2 linked regions of the Ovis aries genome follow. The protein of the gene in region 1 interacts with the protein of each later gene in a biochemical or structural test. Links are inferred from orthologs where the notes say so. Each region holds a gene or a part of one and is shown on either strand. Other genes may lie near its edges.

Region 1 (7,353 bases):
TGCCTTCCTGTGGCCTGAATAACCGTAATTATGATTATCATCAATACAATTATCATCATCATTGCAATAGGCTGCAGAGAGAACTGGGGCAGGATAGGTCGGGCAAGGCAAAATTCGAGGTGGCCCTACTCAACATCCTGGGCGACTTCCTAAAACACGGTTGGTATGCAGGTGACATTGCTCCCCTAAAGGAAAACCCTTCTGTGGTGCCCCATTGTGCTTCACATAAAAGGGACCTGCAGCTGTGCCCTAGCCAAAATGACTTACTGCTCCCCAACCGTCTTACTGGTGTGCTTGCCTCCCTCGCGGTTCCCACCACCTGGGACAGCTGCTTCTCCCCACCAAGTCCAAGCTGAATGAAATGCCACCTCCTCCGAGAAGCCCTCCAGGACAGCCCTCCCTAAAGAAGCACCACCAGCCATGGCACCGATCACTGTCTAAAGCCCCCGCTTGTTTTTTGCCTTTCGAACGGCCGGCTATGGAACTAAGTCTAGAACTCTTTTGGAGTCCACCTCAGGGCAGACCCATCCTCAAGAGAAGTAATGGAGTTTGCCGAATGAGCGAAGCGCTGAAAAACCTGGATCATTCATTCGGCAACCGAGGGGGCGGGGTTCCAAGCTCGCCGACCCCCATCCCCAGCCTGGGCCCAGGTCACTCGAGGGTCACTGGCTCCGTTCTAAGGCCCAGGGGCGACCCCGGGGGAGGGGCACGGGGCTCCCGGGTCCGACGAGCGGGGCCACAACCAAGACACAGCCTGTACCTGCAGGAGGCTTCATAGCTGGCGGGTGCGCACTGGCGGCCCCTGCCTCCACCTCGTCCGTGTCCGCGCAGCGGCCAGCAGCCTCCGTCCACTCAGAGATCGCAAATGTCCAGACCGAGGCGCCCGCCGCCCGCGCGCTCGCTGAATGCTGGGAGACGCGTGCGCTGGAGGGCAGGGCGCTTGCGCACCCTAGCTCCGCCCAAAACCTGTGGCTGTGCGCCAGACGGCTGACTCACTCTGCGCCTGCGCCGGAACCACCCCCGTCTGTCATTTGCTCTCGGTGGTGAGAGGGTGGAGCTTTCGGGGAGGCGAGGAAGAGGCGTTTCCGTGGAAACTCGCACAGCTGGCGCCTCGCAGCTTTTTCTCTGCGCTCTTTCTGGCAGTAGTTGGCTTGGGCTTCCAGCTCCTGTATTAATTTATATTAGCCTCCTTTCTACATTAGTTGTGTATTTGTCTAGCTTTACAACTTTTCTCCGCTAAGTTAGGTAATCCGTGATCGCTTACCGTATCTCAGGCGCTTATCCCATTCCCAGTATCCTGCCCAGCTTCAAGTATCTAATGAATAAAGAAGGTGCGCCACATACATTAGCTGAAACCAGTTGGTCAATAAAATTAAACACATATTTACTTAAAAAACAAAAATGTGTGTTAGCAAGTAAGTGTTATTGAGAAAGCTTCAGAAAACGGATCCAAGACTTCAAACAACAGGTGTTTTGAAACAGTGCAGTTGCCTGTCCTAGGGATCACCGGTTAAAACAAAATCTTGAGGCGGTCCAGAGGTTAGGACTCCACTCTTTCACGTTGGTGATGGACAGGGAGGCCAGGCGTGCTGCGGTTCATGGGGTCGCAGAGTCGAACAGGACTGAGCGACTGAACTGAACTTTCACTGAAGGGGGCACAGGTTTGATTCCTTCTCCGTAGGGCCCCAAAGAGTCGGTCACGACTGAGCATGCACATACGCATAGGAAACGAAGACCAGTGCGCAAAAAAACCCCAAAATATCAACCTTGAACCACCTGAGTCACCCGGAAAGAAACGAGAATTAAACATGCCCCCAAACCCACCTCCTTTATTTATCCATTTCTGCAAAAGAAATGAAAATACCCTGGGGTGTTAAGTGTGCATGCGTTTTAAGTAGGATAAAAGTGAATTGGGAGAACATTTCTGGCAACTTTAACCCTAATGACGGTCATTTAGTAGGGAATTTCCCATTACCCACCCTCGATTTTTTTCTCTCTTGAGAACGTCAAGATTAATTCTACGTTAGTTTTCATTTTCGCTGTTTCCTATAGCTGGAGTGCTTTTCTCCAGTTCTTCAAATTTACCTGTGGGAGAGAGACCCTCCCTAATCATCCCAGCCAATTTACCCCCCAAACACAACACACCACGTTTTCTTCATAGTGCTTGCCATTGAGTAAAATCTGTTCATTTATATACTAGTTTACTAGTTTATAGTGTATCGCAATACAAGGTAATGAGAGCAAACATTTCCCTTTATAGTTGGCGTGCATATTCGTTGACTACTAGGCACCTGCGGTAAACAAAAATCTGTGAATTATTATACTTTACTCTGATGGACTGAATGAATAACATAATTCACTTGTTGGAGGATGGATGGGTAAAAAAAATAAACAAATAACAGTTGCTCGAATTCAAAGAGCGTCTATGATGCTCCGGGGCGCCAGATACCCAAACGCAGCTGCACCACGTGGCCGACTCGGCACCACGTGACGACTCAGCCAACCCACAAGAATCCTCCACCGTCCCATGATGCACCACTCCATTCCCTCTGTAGAGGACAAGTCAGTCCTGATTTCCGGCCTCCAATCGCTCGTAGTGGTTAGTTGCCCTAACGACCAACTTGTCCCAGCCTCTAAGGTACGTCACTTCCCCTTACGCCAGACCTGATAATTGCCGCGCCTGCGCAGAATGAAAGCCAGGAGGCGCTGGCTCCTTCTGCGCAGGCGTCTCAGTTGGGGGGCGGGACCGGGCGGCGCTGTGGTGCGCAGGCGCAGCCGTCGGTGGGTCCCGGGTTCGGCTGTGTGAGGTGAGTCGGGGGGTTCGGCGCTGGTCCGAATGGGCCTAAGGTCCGCAATTCGGGGCGTCTGGGGCCTCTGGGGCTCCTGTGCCGTAGGAAGACGTCGGTCCGGGGCCGGGGTCGCCATAATTTGCGGAGTGCTGTGAGTGGGCGGCGCGGAGGGGAAACTGAGGCCAGACCCCGTCGGGCAAGCCCTTGGCTGCCCAGGTTTTCTTCCTCCGGACTCCAGGCCTATGAAATGCGGATTAGGAGGCCCGGGGGTGAATAGCGGGAGGCATAGCGCCCCGCACGCAGTGAGCACTCGCTGGGTGTCCGCTGTGTCCCGGAAACACGGTCTTTTAGAATCGGGGCTCCGGTCCTTGGGGTTCAAGTCGGGGCTCCCTGTCCCGGCGCCTTCACTGTCCACCTGGGTGACCTTGACCAGCCTCTTGGCTTCTCGGAGCCTTTTTCCCCCTCCATATAACGGGCGTTGTCACAGACCCTGCATGGAGTAGGGGGACTTCCGGAGAGGACTAAAGCCGCAGGGCCCCCAGCGCGAAGTGACAGCTCCAAGAGATCAGCAGCGGTTAGTCCGCTTTCACGAGGACGACCTCTGCCTGTTGTGCCAGAGACTGGGGCGAAATCTAGCGCTGAGGACCGGCTCGTCCACCTCTCGCTGGCTCTGTGAGCTTGGGCAAGTCGTTTGCCCCCTCCACGACCCTTTTCTGCCACGAATAGGGGCTGTAGAAGTATATGTCTCTTAAGGTCATTATGAGGTTAAGTACACTTGGAACCTTCTTTCATTAGGTTCTTGCTACTTGTCTAGAGCTTCCTAGAGGACAGATGGTTTTGTTATCAGATGCCAGGAACTGCTTGAGCACTCTGCATCTCCACCCAGGAAAGTTTCCCGTTTTCTTTTGTTTCTCTCTCTGGTTATTTGTTTTGTCTGCTTTTCCTCTCCCTAGGCCAGGCATTCTGTCCTCTCAGGGAACACGGGCCATGTCTGGGGACGTCTATGGCTGTCACAGCCAGGGGCGCTCCTGGTATCAAGGGGCTGGTGACCAGGGATGCTGCTGCACATCCCACAGTGCCCAGGATGGCCCCACGGAGAACAGTCTGGCCCTCAATGTCCACAGTGCTAAAGTACGTCCTACCTCAGACTAGTGGTTTTTCACTAGTGGCCCTCAACCTAGGGCCAAGTAACATCAGCTTCTGGTCTCCAGAAGGGGTGAAGGGTGTGAACCCCCAAGAAATCACATGCAAGGTTTGGTGTGGGTGTCCACTTTTGTGGGTGAGGAAGGGTATTTTGGAGTTTGGAGCTCTAGAAATCAGGTTGCACAGGTTCAAAACTGCTGATATGCATCTTCCCTGGATGACCTTGGAGGTTGCTCCCGTCCCTCTGGGCCTCAGTTTTTTACGCTGTACAGTGGGAGTTCGATTAAACAAATGGTGACCAGGGGGCCAAATTCCACTGCAGCCTCTTTTGTGGGGGAGGGATCTAGTTCCTTGACCAGGATGGAACCAGGACCCCCTGCATTGGGAACATGGAGGCTTAGCCACTGGACCACAGGGAAGTCCCTGCAGCCTTGTTTTTGTGGATGAGGTTTTGTGGGATAGAACCCACTGGATCCACACACATGTTACCTGGACCCTGGGAAGCTGAACGTCCTCACCCTGGCCCTTCTTTTCAGAAGATGTTTGCTGACCCCTAAAATAAGTGAGTGTGGGTACAGTATACAGCTCAGGCCTGTAAGTGCTGGGCACTCCAAGGATTTCATTCAGGGCTTTATAATTAAGTCTTCCTGGAAGGGTGAGTGGCCCTAAATTGGGTTAAGTGCTGCCCTGTATTGAGAGCTATAGTCTTTTTTATAAGTTTTTGTTGTTGTTGTTAGTTTATTTTTGGCTGCACTGAGTCTTTGTTGCTATGCATGCGCTTTCTCTAGTTGCAGATAGCGGGGGTTCTCTCTAGTTGTGGTGTGTGGGCTTCTCATTGTGGTGGCTTCCCTTGTTGCAGAGCAAGGGCTGTAGGGCACCTGGGCTTCAGTAGTTGCAGTTCATGGGTGCAGTTGTTATGGTGCTTGGGCTTAGCTGCCCAGCCACATGTGGGATCTTCCCGGACCAGGGATCGAACCCTTGTCCCCTGCGTTGGCAGGTAGATTCTTAACCGCTGGACATCCAGGGAATTCTTGAGGTTGGGGTGTTTTCAGTGAGAAAATGGAAAGGTGGATGGAGAGCCAGCAGGGCTTCTGAAGGCACCGGGAGGAATTGGAGCTGGGTCCCTGGCCTCAGCCACACCCCAGGGCCATTGTCCATTCCCAGCCAGTCTCCTGCCTGTACCCCATGCCTGCAGCCAGTGCCCTTGGAGCCTTCTGGGCTTCACAAAGCCCTTGCTGTTCTTGGGAGAGAGAACGGTCCTGCTGAGGATTCTGTTCCCCAGCCAAAGCCTGACAAGTCAGAATTGTTCCCAAGCCCCTGGTGCCCAGTAGCAGCTGAGGAAGAGCATGTGCCAGCGTTTCTGGACTCACTTTGCTGGGAGCAGGAAGGTGATGCGGACCATCCGGAGGGAGGAGAATGGCCACTCTCATGGACCGCCAGTGTCCAGCAGGTGCCAGTCCCACTGCACACTCGCAGTCTCCTGTCTGTAGTCCTGAAACCCAGCGTGCATGCGTGCTGAGTTGCTTCAGTCGTGTCTGATTGTTTGCAGCCCTATGGACTGTAGCTCTCCAGGCTTCTCTGTCCATGGGATTCTCTAGGCAAGAATACTGGCATGGGTTGCTGTGCCCTCCTCCAGGGGATCTTCCTGACCCAGGGATCGAACCTGCATCTCTTCTGTCTCCTGCATTGGCAGGTGTGTTCTTTACCATTTGAGCCACCTGGGAAGCCCCATGTAACCCAGAATACTCAGCGAATGCAGGATTCACTGAAAGTTCACAGCCAAGTCATTTGGCCAGAAAATCTGCCCTTTATTTTTTCCACTTGGTGTGTATCAGTGACTTTCAACTGGGGGTTTGGTGACGTCTAGAGACTTTTGTGATTGACAACACCCTGGGCAGGGTGGGGGGATTTTCCCGGGATCGAGGGTGTGAGGGAGAGCGATGCTGCCCCATCCCTCACAGCTCCCAGGATGCCCCCTGCACAGTGACCTGACCCCGTGTCAGCTATGCCAAGGGGGAGGGCTCCTGCATTCACATTTGAGAAAAATATTGGGTTTGATGCCTGCTCACACTGGACACCACAATAAATTCCCGATGGTCACACAGTGTGAACAGGAGGGCCCCGTGTTACCTCCCCACAGTGGGTCACCTCCCCACCCTTCCACTCAGGTATGTATTTAAATATGATCAGCGTCCCAGGACCTCAGAGGTCACATGGTGATGGAACCCAGTCTTGTCCCATCCCACCCCACCCCACCCCCTCTCCCAGAAGATGGATGCAGAGGGTGCTATTAAACACCCTTTAATGCACATTCTCCCCAGCCCCCCATGTCTGTAGAGCCTGGGGGAGACACCTGCATGAGGTGCTGGAATCTCCCAGCAGCCTCCGTTACCCTGTTTTATAGGAGAGAGTGAGGACATCCACTGGCCCCCCTTCAGATGGGACACCAAGCATCCCAGCCCTGGGGCAGGGGGTGACGTGGAGCTGGCCTCAGACAGAGACTGCTGGGCCTGAGGGATTAAGACTGCAGAGCCTAGCATCATCCCTGGGTGGGCTCCAGGGCCCTGGTCTTGGCGCTCAGTGCATCAGATTGGGGGCCAAACCTTGGGAGAAGGTCCTGTCATAGACCAGAAGAAGCCCTAGAAGTGGGAAACCAGGCAGCAGTGGCCTCAAGGGAGGCATCTGTCAGGGGAGAGGGCTATTAGCAGCACACGCGAAGGTCCTGGGGTATGGCGGGGGGCGGGGCTGGAAGAACTGAGAGTGTGCAGGGAACACATGTGACTTCATCTCTCAACTCCCTGGACCCCCAGCAGCCCCTCAGAGTCACTCCCTCCATCCTTGCAGCTTGGTCACATAGACATCAGGTTGCCTCTTTGTTTTCTTAAGTGAATGCCTGTTGTCACAGAGGCCACATTTATTCCCTGGGCGGGAAAGCAGACCCCCCCCCCCCACCACCACCGTCCAATACCCTCCCAGCCCAGCATGAACCTCAGTGACCTAGTGCTGCCTCCCATGGGTCTGACGGGGCGGGGGGGGGGGGCATGCCCCAAATTGCTACCTGGAACACATGGGGGAGCCCCAGCTACCCAGTCCTGTGGCCTTACCATGTCAGCTATTGACATGTGACTGCCCTCTGGGAGACCCTGACACCCTTCCATCCAGTTCAATGAGAAGTCAGCAGGGGGGTGGGGGGTGAGCTGGTAAGCATGAAGGCCAGGTGGTAAATTCTCTGGGGTTCAGGGGCAGTGAGGAAAACCAAGCATGTTACGGAGGCACTTCTGTAGCATATGAATGCAGAAGACTTTTTCAGCTAAATGGGTGGCTGCCAGGTGTGGCCCTTGACCCTTGGTTTAGAGCAGAATATGTGAAAGGACTATGGTCCTGGGGTCTCAGAGGTGTCTGCATCCTAAGAGGACCACTT
Region 2 (7,426 bases), on another chromosome or scaffold:
CAGAACCTCCATCTTGCCCCTGTCAGCAGGTAGGTAGGCCAGATGGCCACACACAGCAGCACCGTTCACATGGCAGTGGTGAACATCAGCACATGGGGCCTTTGGCCCGGGGGTCACCCGCTGCCCACACCACTTTGCCAGCTGCTCTCTGCTGGTCAGATGACACTCAGATGCCGTGAGCTGGCCTGCTCTCATCAGGCCTGCTTCCTGGGCATCCCTGGGCTGTCCTTCAGAGATTTCCTCCTGGTTGTGGTACTGCCGCAACTGTGCCTCAAAGCAAGTGGGGCACAGGCTAGTGGTGACAAGATTGGGGCTGATCCCCTGGTGTCAGGCCATCTCTGAACTGTCAAAATCAGCCTGAATCAGCAGGCCGAAGGCAAAGTTCTACCTGTCCCTTCCCCTTCTGGGGAAGCTTGAGGTAGTTGTGACTGGGGAAGGGACACCCGAATGGCACTCAAGGGCCATCCCCAGGCTTGCAGCAAGGAACCCGGCTGAGTCTCCCAGCAGTGGGCTTCTCGGTCATGCTCCTGGGCTCACAGCTGCTCGCCCTCACCAGCCACCGCCATGTCCCTTCTCTTCTCAGGAAGAGCTCTACCATCAAGAAAGGGAGCCCAGCACCAGACCTCGCCCATGGACCCTTCTGAGGACCACCCAACGGCACCAGCAAGGCTGGTCTCCTAAGCCACAGAGGGCCTGCATGCCCCACCGTTGGGAAGGAGCCATGGTGTTTAGGAGTGGTGAAGGCTGCTCCCTGCAGTGGCCTGGCCCAGAAGGGGGCACTGGTTGCACGGGCCCCCAAAGCATGCTCAGGGCCACCCTGCTGCTTGTCAGCCTGCTGTGGGGGGCCCGGGGAACAGCCAGTGCCAGTCTCAGCCCGGCTCTGGGCCATCCCATGCCCCTGACCAGGGGCCGCTACCTGAGCATTGGAGATGGCTCTGTGATGGAGTTTGAGTTCCCAGAAGAGAGCGAGGGCATCATTGTGATCACAAGCCATTACCCAGGCCAGGGCAACGGGACAGGACCCAGCCCCATGCTGAGGGTCACCTCCCTGGACCCAGAGGTGCTGACCATTAAGAATGTGAGTGCTATAGCCTGGGGCGGCGGTGGCAGCTTCGTGGTAAGCATCCGCTCGGGCCTGCCTGGGATAGCCCCACTCCACATCCAGCTCACGGACCCCCGCGAGGCCCCGCCCAGGCTGATCGAAGAGCGGAGAGATTTCTGCATCAAGGTCTCACCCGCTGAAGACACCCCCATCACCCTCGGCACTAACCTGGTCCACTTCTCAGAGAACCCAATCCTCTACTTGCTCCTGCCTCTTATCTTTGTCAATAAGTGTTCATTTGGGTGCAAAGTGGAGCTCGAGGTACTGAAGGGGCTCTTGCAGAACCCCCAGCCCATGCTGCTGGGCCTTCTGGGCCAGTTCCTAGTCATGCCCTTCTATGCTTTTCTGATGGCTAAGGTCTTCATGCTGCCCAAGGCCCTGGCTCTGGGCCTCATCATCACTTGCTCGTCGCCCGGCGGCGGGGGGAGCTACCTCTTCAGCCTCCTCCTCGGAGGGGACGTCACTCTGGCCATCTCTATGACTTTCATCTCAACGGTGGCTGCCACCGGCTTCCTGCCGCTGTCCTCAGCCATCTACAGTCGCCTGCTCAGCATCCATGAAACACTCCATGTGCCTGTTTCCAAGATCCTGGGGACCCTGCTGTTCATTGCCATCCCCATTGCAGCAGGCGTGGTAATCAAGTCCAAGCTCCCCAAGTTCTCGCAGCTGCTGCTGCATGTCATCAAGCCCTTCAGCTTTGTGCTGCTCCTGGGTGGCCTCTTCCTGGCCTACCGCATGGGGGTCTTCATCCTGGCAGGCGTCAGGCTGCCCATCGTGTTGGTGGGCTTCACAGTGCCCCTGGTCGGCCTCCTGGTGGGCTACGGCCTGGCCACATGCCTGAATCTGCCAGTGGCCCAGCGGCGGACTGTCAGCATCGAGGTTGGGGTGCAGAACAGCCTTCTGGCCTTGGCCATGCTGCAGCTGTCCCTCCGCCGCCTCCAGGCTGACTATGCCTCCCAGGCCCCTTTCCTTGTGGCACTTAGTGGCACCTCGGAGATGCTGGCCTTAGTAATTGGCCACTTTATCTATAGCAGCGTGTGCACCGTTCCCTGAGGCCCCCGGGTCAAGCTTTCACCAGGCACCCCCAGCCCCCAACCTCCATCAACTGTCCCCACCATTCTTGTGTACCAAAGGCCTTTAGTTCTCATGCACTATGCACTCAGAAAAAAAAAAAAATCCAGGCTTATTTTTTTTACTCGTTTTTTATTCTCCAGCTTTCAGTGCCAAAGAGGCCATGCTGAGTTCTGTAAGCGGGCACTGCCCAGAAAATATATTTCAATAAAACAGAAGCAAGCTTGGGTATCATGCTGTCTTTGCCCTCTGAGGCCTGCGGGTCGGGGAAGGAAGGGCGTGGTGTGGCCAGGTAGGTGTGGGCCAGGATGGAGGGCTGGCTTGGCGACACAGTGACCTCTGGCCAGATTTAGCCTTCCTCGCCCCTGCATCACCTCTGAGAGCTGTGTATCTGTTCTAGAAGAAGCAGTGGGAAGGGCAGAGGCCTGACTCCCCCACCAGATCCCAAGCTCAGTTGCTTTTCCACAGGTGAAGTAAAAAAGAGGCCGGCGGGTGGTGAAACGAGCTCGGCGGGGCCGGGTCTTCTGCAGGCTCCTGAGAGGCAGGGGATGGGATGGGCATCAGCGTTGACCTGCTCTGCCCACGGGCGGTGGCGCGCGAACTCCCGGCCCGCCGTCTCCCCGGGCCCAGCTCCCCAACTCCTTCGAGCGAGCCCGACTGGTCCCGCCACCCTTTTCCACTCTCCGCGGGCTTCTGGGCTCCGTCGCCCCGGGCTCCGCGGAGGACAGTCCAGGTTGTGGGGGGAGGGGCCGGCGGGGCGGGGCCGCGATGCCCGGCTCGCCCCTCGCGATGCTTCCGGCGGCGGCGGGCGGTTCCGGCGCGCGCCCGGGGCGGCGGCGCGCGGCGGCGGACCGTTGGGGTGCGCGCCGGCCCGAGTGGACGCCTCGGCGGCCGCCATGCAGCTGACGGTGAAGGCACTCCAGGGCCGCGAGTGCAGCCTTCAGGTAGCATCGCCGGGCTGGGTTGCGCGGTCAGCCCCGCGGGTGCGGGATCGAGCCGCGGGAAGGGACGGACCCGGCGGGCTAGCCGCCTCGGGAGAGCCACCCTCCGCGCGGGCCGCGGCTTCACCCCCCGCCCACCTTTCTCGGCCGGGACAGGTGTCGGAGGACGAGCTGGTGTCCACGCTGAAACATCTGGTCTCCGAAAAGCTGAACATCCCCGTCCGCCAACAGCGGCTGCTGTTCAAGGGCAAGGCCCTGGCAGGTAACCAGGAAGAGGGGACGCTGGGGGAGACCCGCGGGAAGCCAGGGGACGGGGCGTCCAGCCCAGGCCCGGGCAGCAGTGTAGGTGGAGGGGGCTCTGGCTAGGTGACCCCCACCCCCATCCCGGGAGTTCACCGCTGCGCTTCGCCTAGGCTCTCCGAGGGTCAGTGCGACCCTCTCTCCCTCTCTCCCTCTCTCCCTCTCTCCCTCTCTCCCTCTCTCCCTCTCTCCCTCTCTCCCTCTCTCCCTCTCTCCCTCTCTCCCTCTCTCCCTCTCTCCCTCTCCCTCTCTCTTTCGGACAGATGGGAAAAGACTCTCCGATTACAGCATCGGGCCGAATTCCAAGCTCAACCTAGTGGTCAAACCTCTGGAGAAGGTGTTGCTGGAAGAAAGCACTGCGCGGAAAACGGCCGAGGCCCCAGCCCCACCGCCCGCCGCCTGGCCGCTCATTTCCAGAATCCTGGCCCAGCACTTCAGCGCCGCCGATGCCAGCAGAGTCCTGGATCAACTCCAGAGGGTGAGAAGCGTGGCCCAGGACCTCTGCATCCTGCCCACCTGCCTCTGTCCCAGCGGGCCCCCCCGCCCCAAGCCACACCCCTGAATCCTTCTGGCTTTCTCTCTTCAGGATTATGAGCGGTCCCTGAGCCGCCTGACGCTGGATGACATTGAACGTTTGGCTGGCCGCTTCCTGCACCCCGAAGCGACTGAAGCTATGGAGAAGGGGTTCTCCAAGTAGGATTCTCGGAGTGTGGGGAGGAGCCTGGCCAGGCCACAAGCTGCATGTAGCATTAAATGTCTTCTTGTATTGCAACTTGGCTCATAATACTGCCTGGCGGGTACTCGGGTACCTGTATCTGGCTCATGTTAGGTGCCAGGCCCCACTCAAAGCTCTTGACCCAGGTTGGCTCCCACATGTTGCACAAAAGGTGAGACAGCCGAGGCTCCTAGCGGAGAAGGCAAGGAGCCAGATTCTGAGTCCAGCCAGCTTCCAGAAGTACTTCAGGGTGAGAAGGAGAAAAGGGTCGTTCAGACGGGTTCTGAGGGGTGGCCATGGACATTCCAGGTTTAGCCCACTGAGGAGAAACCCTCGAGCAATACCTTTTCCAGGCCTGGAAGGGGAAGCAGCTAGCCCCTGATGCCCAGTTCTGTCACCTCATCCTTGACAGGTCCGGCATTGGCAAGAGGTCAGGTGATGGCCAGCCTTGGGCCCCCTTAGTGACTGCAACCAGTATGCACTCAAACGGAAGGCGGGCTGGGGAGTCTAGGATGTCACCCGACTCTGGGGAGTGACACGTAGGTGCCACGTTGGTCCCCAGCCTTCAACTCTGCTCAGTGAGGGCTGTTCTTGAGACTCTCTTAGTTTTCTTTAGCTCCAAAGCCTGGGGTCAGGAGTCTGTAGGCATCCTACTCCTGTGTCCCAGATACAAACTGAGGCCAAATTCTGAGTGATGGCCAAGCGTGGCCCAGAGACGGAATGTCCTGGCCCTTAGTGTCACAGATTTTCTCTGGGCACCCCCTTCTTTTCTCCTCCCAGACACAAGCGGTCCATGACCTTTAGAGATGACAGGTGATGGTCTCGAGGTGACTCGAGCAGGCCCCTGTACCCTTTGCCCATCCTCTGCCACATGTGGACAGGGCCTCCCACTGTGCACACCACTCACTGTCTGAGAGGGAACCTGGGTGGGGGCAGAAGCTGGGGGGTGGGTCGTAGAGATCGTCTAGGCACCTGCTCCTCAGAGGAGGGCACCTGGGCCACTCTCCGGCCTGAGCCTCATAGGGTAAGTGCTGGGTCCCCAGGTGGGGAGGACAGACAGTGGCTCGAGGGCCAAAGGCTTTGAAGAGCAGGTGGAAGTCCATGGCTCCACCCAGGAGCTGGGCATGCACTGCCACAAGGTTCATGTGATAGACTTCCCTACGCTCTCATTTCTTTGTAGTCAGGAAATTTTATATTGACCTTCTCAGTCACACTAGAGGTGCATGTGAGACTTTGACCTGAAAGGAACTCTATTAGTTGAACTGCTTTTGGTTTCCCCATCGTTGATTTAACCATTACAGGACATAGGTTTAAGCAATAAAGAGAAGGTATTGGTTTGCGAAACTGAGAAGTCCAGGGGTATTGGCAGCAGATAAATGATTTCCCCAAATACCCAGTTTCTTCCTACCTCCCCTCTGCACTCTGCAGTGTCTGCTTCATCCCAGGCCTCTACCTCAGGATCAGAAGATGGCTGCCTGCAGCTTCCACCGAACCCCTCGGTCACAGCCAGCACGGAGCACCTTCCCGTCCTCTAGCGTAGCTTCCTCCTCAGCTGCCCCAACAAATAAACGCTGTCCCTTTTGGATGCTTAGAACCGGGTGCCTCCATCATTTTATCAGGGGCTTGGGTGGGCTGTGGAAGGGAGAGGGCAACTCTCAGGAAGGCCGGGTCCTCGGGGAGAGCTGACGCGTGCAGACGGGTCTTGTTGACAGACACAAGAGACAGCTGGTGAGTCTTGTGTGCCTCCCGACTGGGAGGTGATGACCCTGTGGTAGCTAGGAGCCATCTGCTGGGTGCAGAAAGTCATCGGGGAGCTCAGGCTGCCCATGGAGACAGGAGTGGTGTCTCCCAGGTGTATAGTAGGTGCCTTGCTGACAGGCCCGACAGGCTGATTCCGCGGCCCTGTGCAGTTTTCCACGACATTCCGGAGGGCCTGTGGACACAATGTCCCAGACACTGCGAGGATGCATGAAATTACTTCCCAGAGAGCATGACCGAAGAAAGGGGAGAGCACTGGACCTGGGGGAGACTTCACCAACTGGAGACACTGCAGAGGCCAAGGCACCTCTGCAGACGCAAGGCCACAGGGAGAGCTTGGAGTCAGAGGCCAGGAAGGCCCCTCCAGCCAGGGTACAGAGTGTATAGTGCTGCCAAGAAGCAAAAGAGGGCAGCCTCCTGTCAAGCTAACAAGAAGGTCATTGGTGATATTAGGGCAAGAAGTTGCTGCATGGTGGAGAGGGGGAAAGTCTTGCCAGTGACTGGAGACCCCTGGTTCCAGAAGCTTGTCTGGGCAGGAGTGTGTAGCTATGGGGGGTGGGGGTGGGGAGACAGGGAAGAGGTGCTGGGATGAGAGATGGGAGGCCTAGGTGGGAAGGGGCCACGGAGGCTCTGGTCTAGGCCTTGTGCCATCGCTAGAGGATAGAATGGCCACGGGCTGTGCCCTGCCTTTGTCCTTAGTTTCTGGGTGAGGGGGTGGCCCCATGTACACTGCGGGCTCCAAATGCTGCAGTATCCTTCCATAGGGGCTGGAATGTTTAAGGCCATCACTGTGCCCCTTGAGCCAAGTGTCTGCCCCAGAGGTGGGCACTGACCCCCCCATTACCACTCCCATCCCCTGGCCTGAGACCACTCTCTCCTCGTGGAGGAGCCTTGAAACAGCCCCACTAGGAGATGGCAGGGCGAGTGAAACGCCCAGCTGAAGTGGCCCCAGACAGCAACAGTCCGGCACCTGGAATAAGATGCCTGTGGTGCCACTTGCCATGGGCACACTGGCGGAGGGGTAGGCTCAGAGGAAAGCAGCGTTTCCTTTGGGGTGGGGCTTGCTGAGCTGGAAAACGCCCAGGCAAAGATCAGCTGCATGCACAATTTGCTGGTGCCTTGCTTTCCACGCAAGCCTGGACAAAAGCCAGCCTTACCAGGTCCAATAGATCTGACAAGTGCTGCTGAGGACGGGTCAGGCCCTGCCAGCGGGAGATGCAAGGGCCATGGCGGCCTCTGTGCCCTGGGCCTTGGAAAGCCTGCGGGAGAGATGCTCACCCCTGTCACCCTGTCCCCCTCCAAGGCCCAGCCAGAGCAGCCTCCCGGAGCTACTGGGGACCTGCCCCAGGCCACCTCTTCTGCCTGCCCTCTCCACCTCTTCTGCCTGCCCTCTCCAACTTTTCCTTCCACTTCCCCTAGCTCTGGGCTTCCCTGATAGCTCAATTGGTAAAGGATCCGCCTGCAATGCAGGAGACCCCGGTTCAGTTCTTAGATCAGGAAGATCCCCTGGAGAATGGATGGGCTACACACTCCAGTATT

Evidence for each region.
Region 2: the proteins of SGTA (region 1) and UBL4A form a complex in vitro, tested with the Homo sapiens proteins (3 studies listed by BioGRID, with this or other methods). The link is inferred for Ovis aries from reciprocal best matches to the Homo sapiens genes SGTA and UBL4A.

What each region holds. Positions count from the first base shown.
Region 1 is NC_056058.1:18,697,116-18,704,468, forward strand, and holds the start of SGTA (small glutamine-rich tetratricopeptide repeat-containing protein alpha), read left to right. Parts: upstream 1-2,758; 5' UTR 2,759-2,807; intron 2,808-7,353. Other genes in the region: THOP1 (thimet oligopeptidase), read right to left, coding at 761-776. UniProt on the Homo sapiens protein: Co-chaperone that binds misfolded and hydrophobic patches-containing client proteins in the cytosol. Mediates their targeting to the endoplasmic reticulum but also regulates their sorting to the proteasome when targeting fails.
Region 2 is NC_056080.1:79,952,075-79,959,500, forward strand, and holds UBL4A (ubiquitin-like protein 4A), read left to right. Parts: upstream 1-3,026; 5' UTR 3,027-3,069; coding exon 3,070-3,117; intron 3,118-3,270; coding exon 3,271-3,376; intron 3,377-3,677; coding exon 3,678-3,892; intron 3,893-4,000; coding exon 4,001-4,107; coding exon of another isoform or gene 4,108-4,111; exon of another isoform or gene 4,112-4,541; coding exon 4,542-4,665; 3' UTR 4,666-4,668; exon of another isoform or gene 4,669-5,557; coding exon of another isoform or gene 5,558-5,669; 3' UTR 5,670-5,723; downstream 5,724-7,426. Other genes in the region: SLC10A3 (P3 protein), read left to right, coding at 698-2,155. UniProt on the Homo sapiens protein: As part of a cytosolic protein quality control complex, the BAG6/BAT3 complex, maintains misfolded and hydrophobic patches-containing proteins in a soluble state and participates in their proper delivery to the endoplasmic reticulum or alternatively can promote their sorting to the proteasome where they undergo degradation.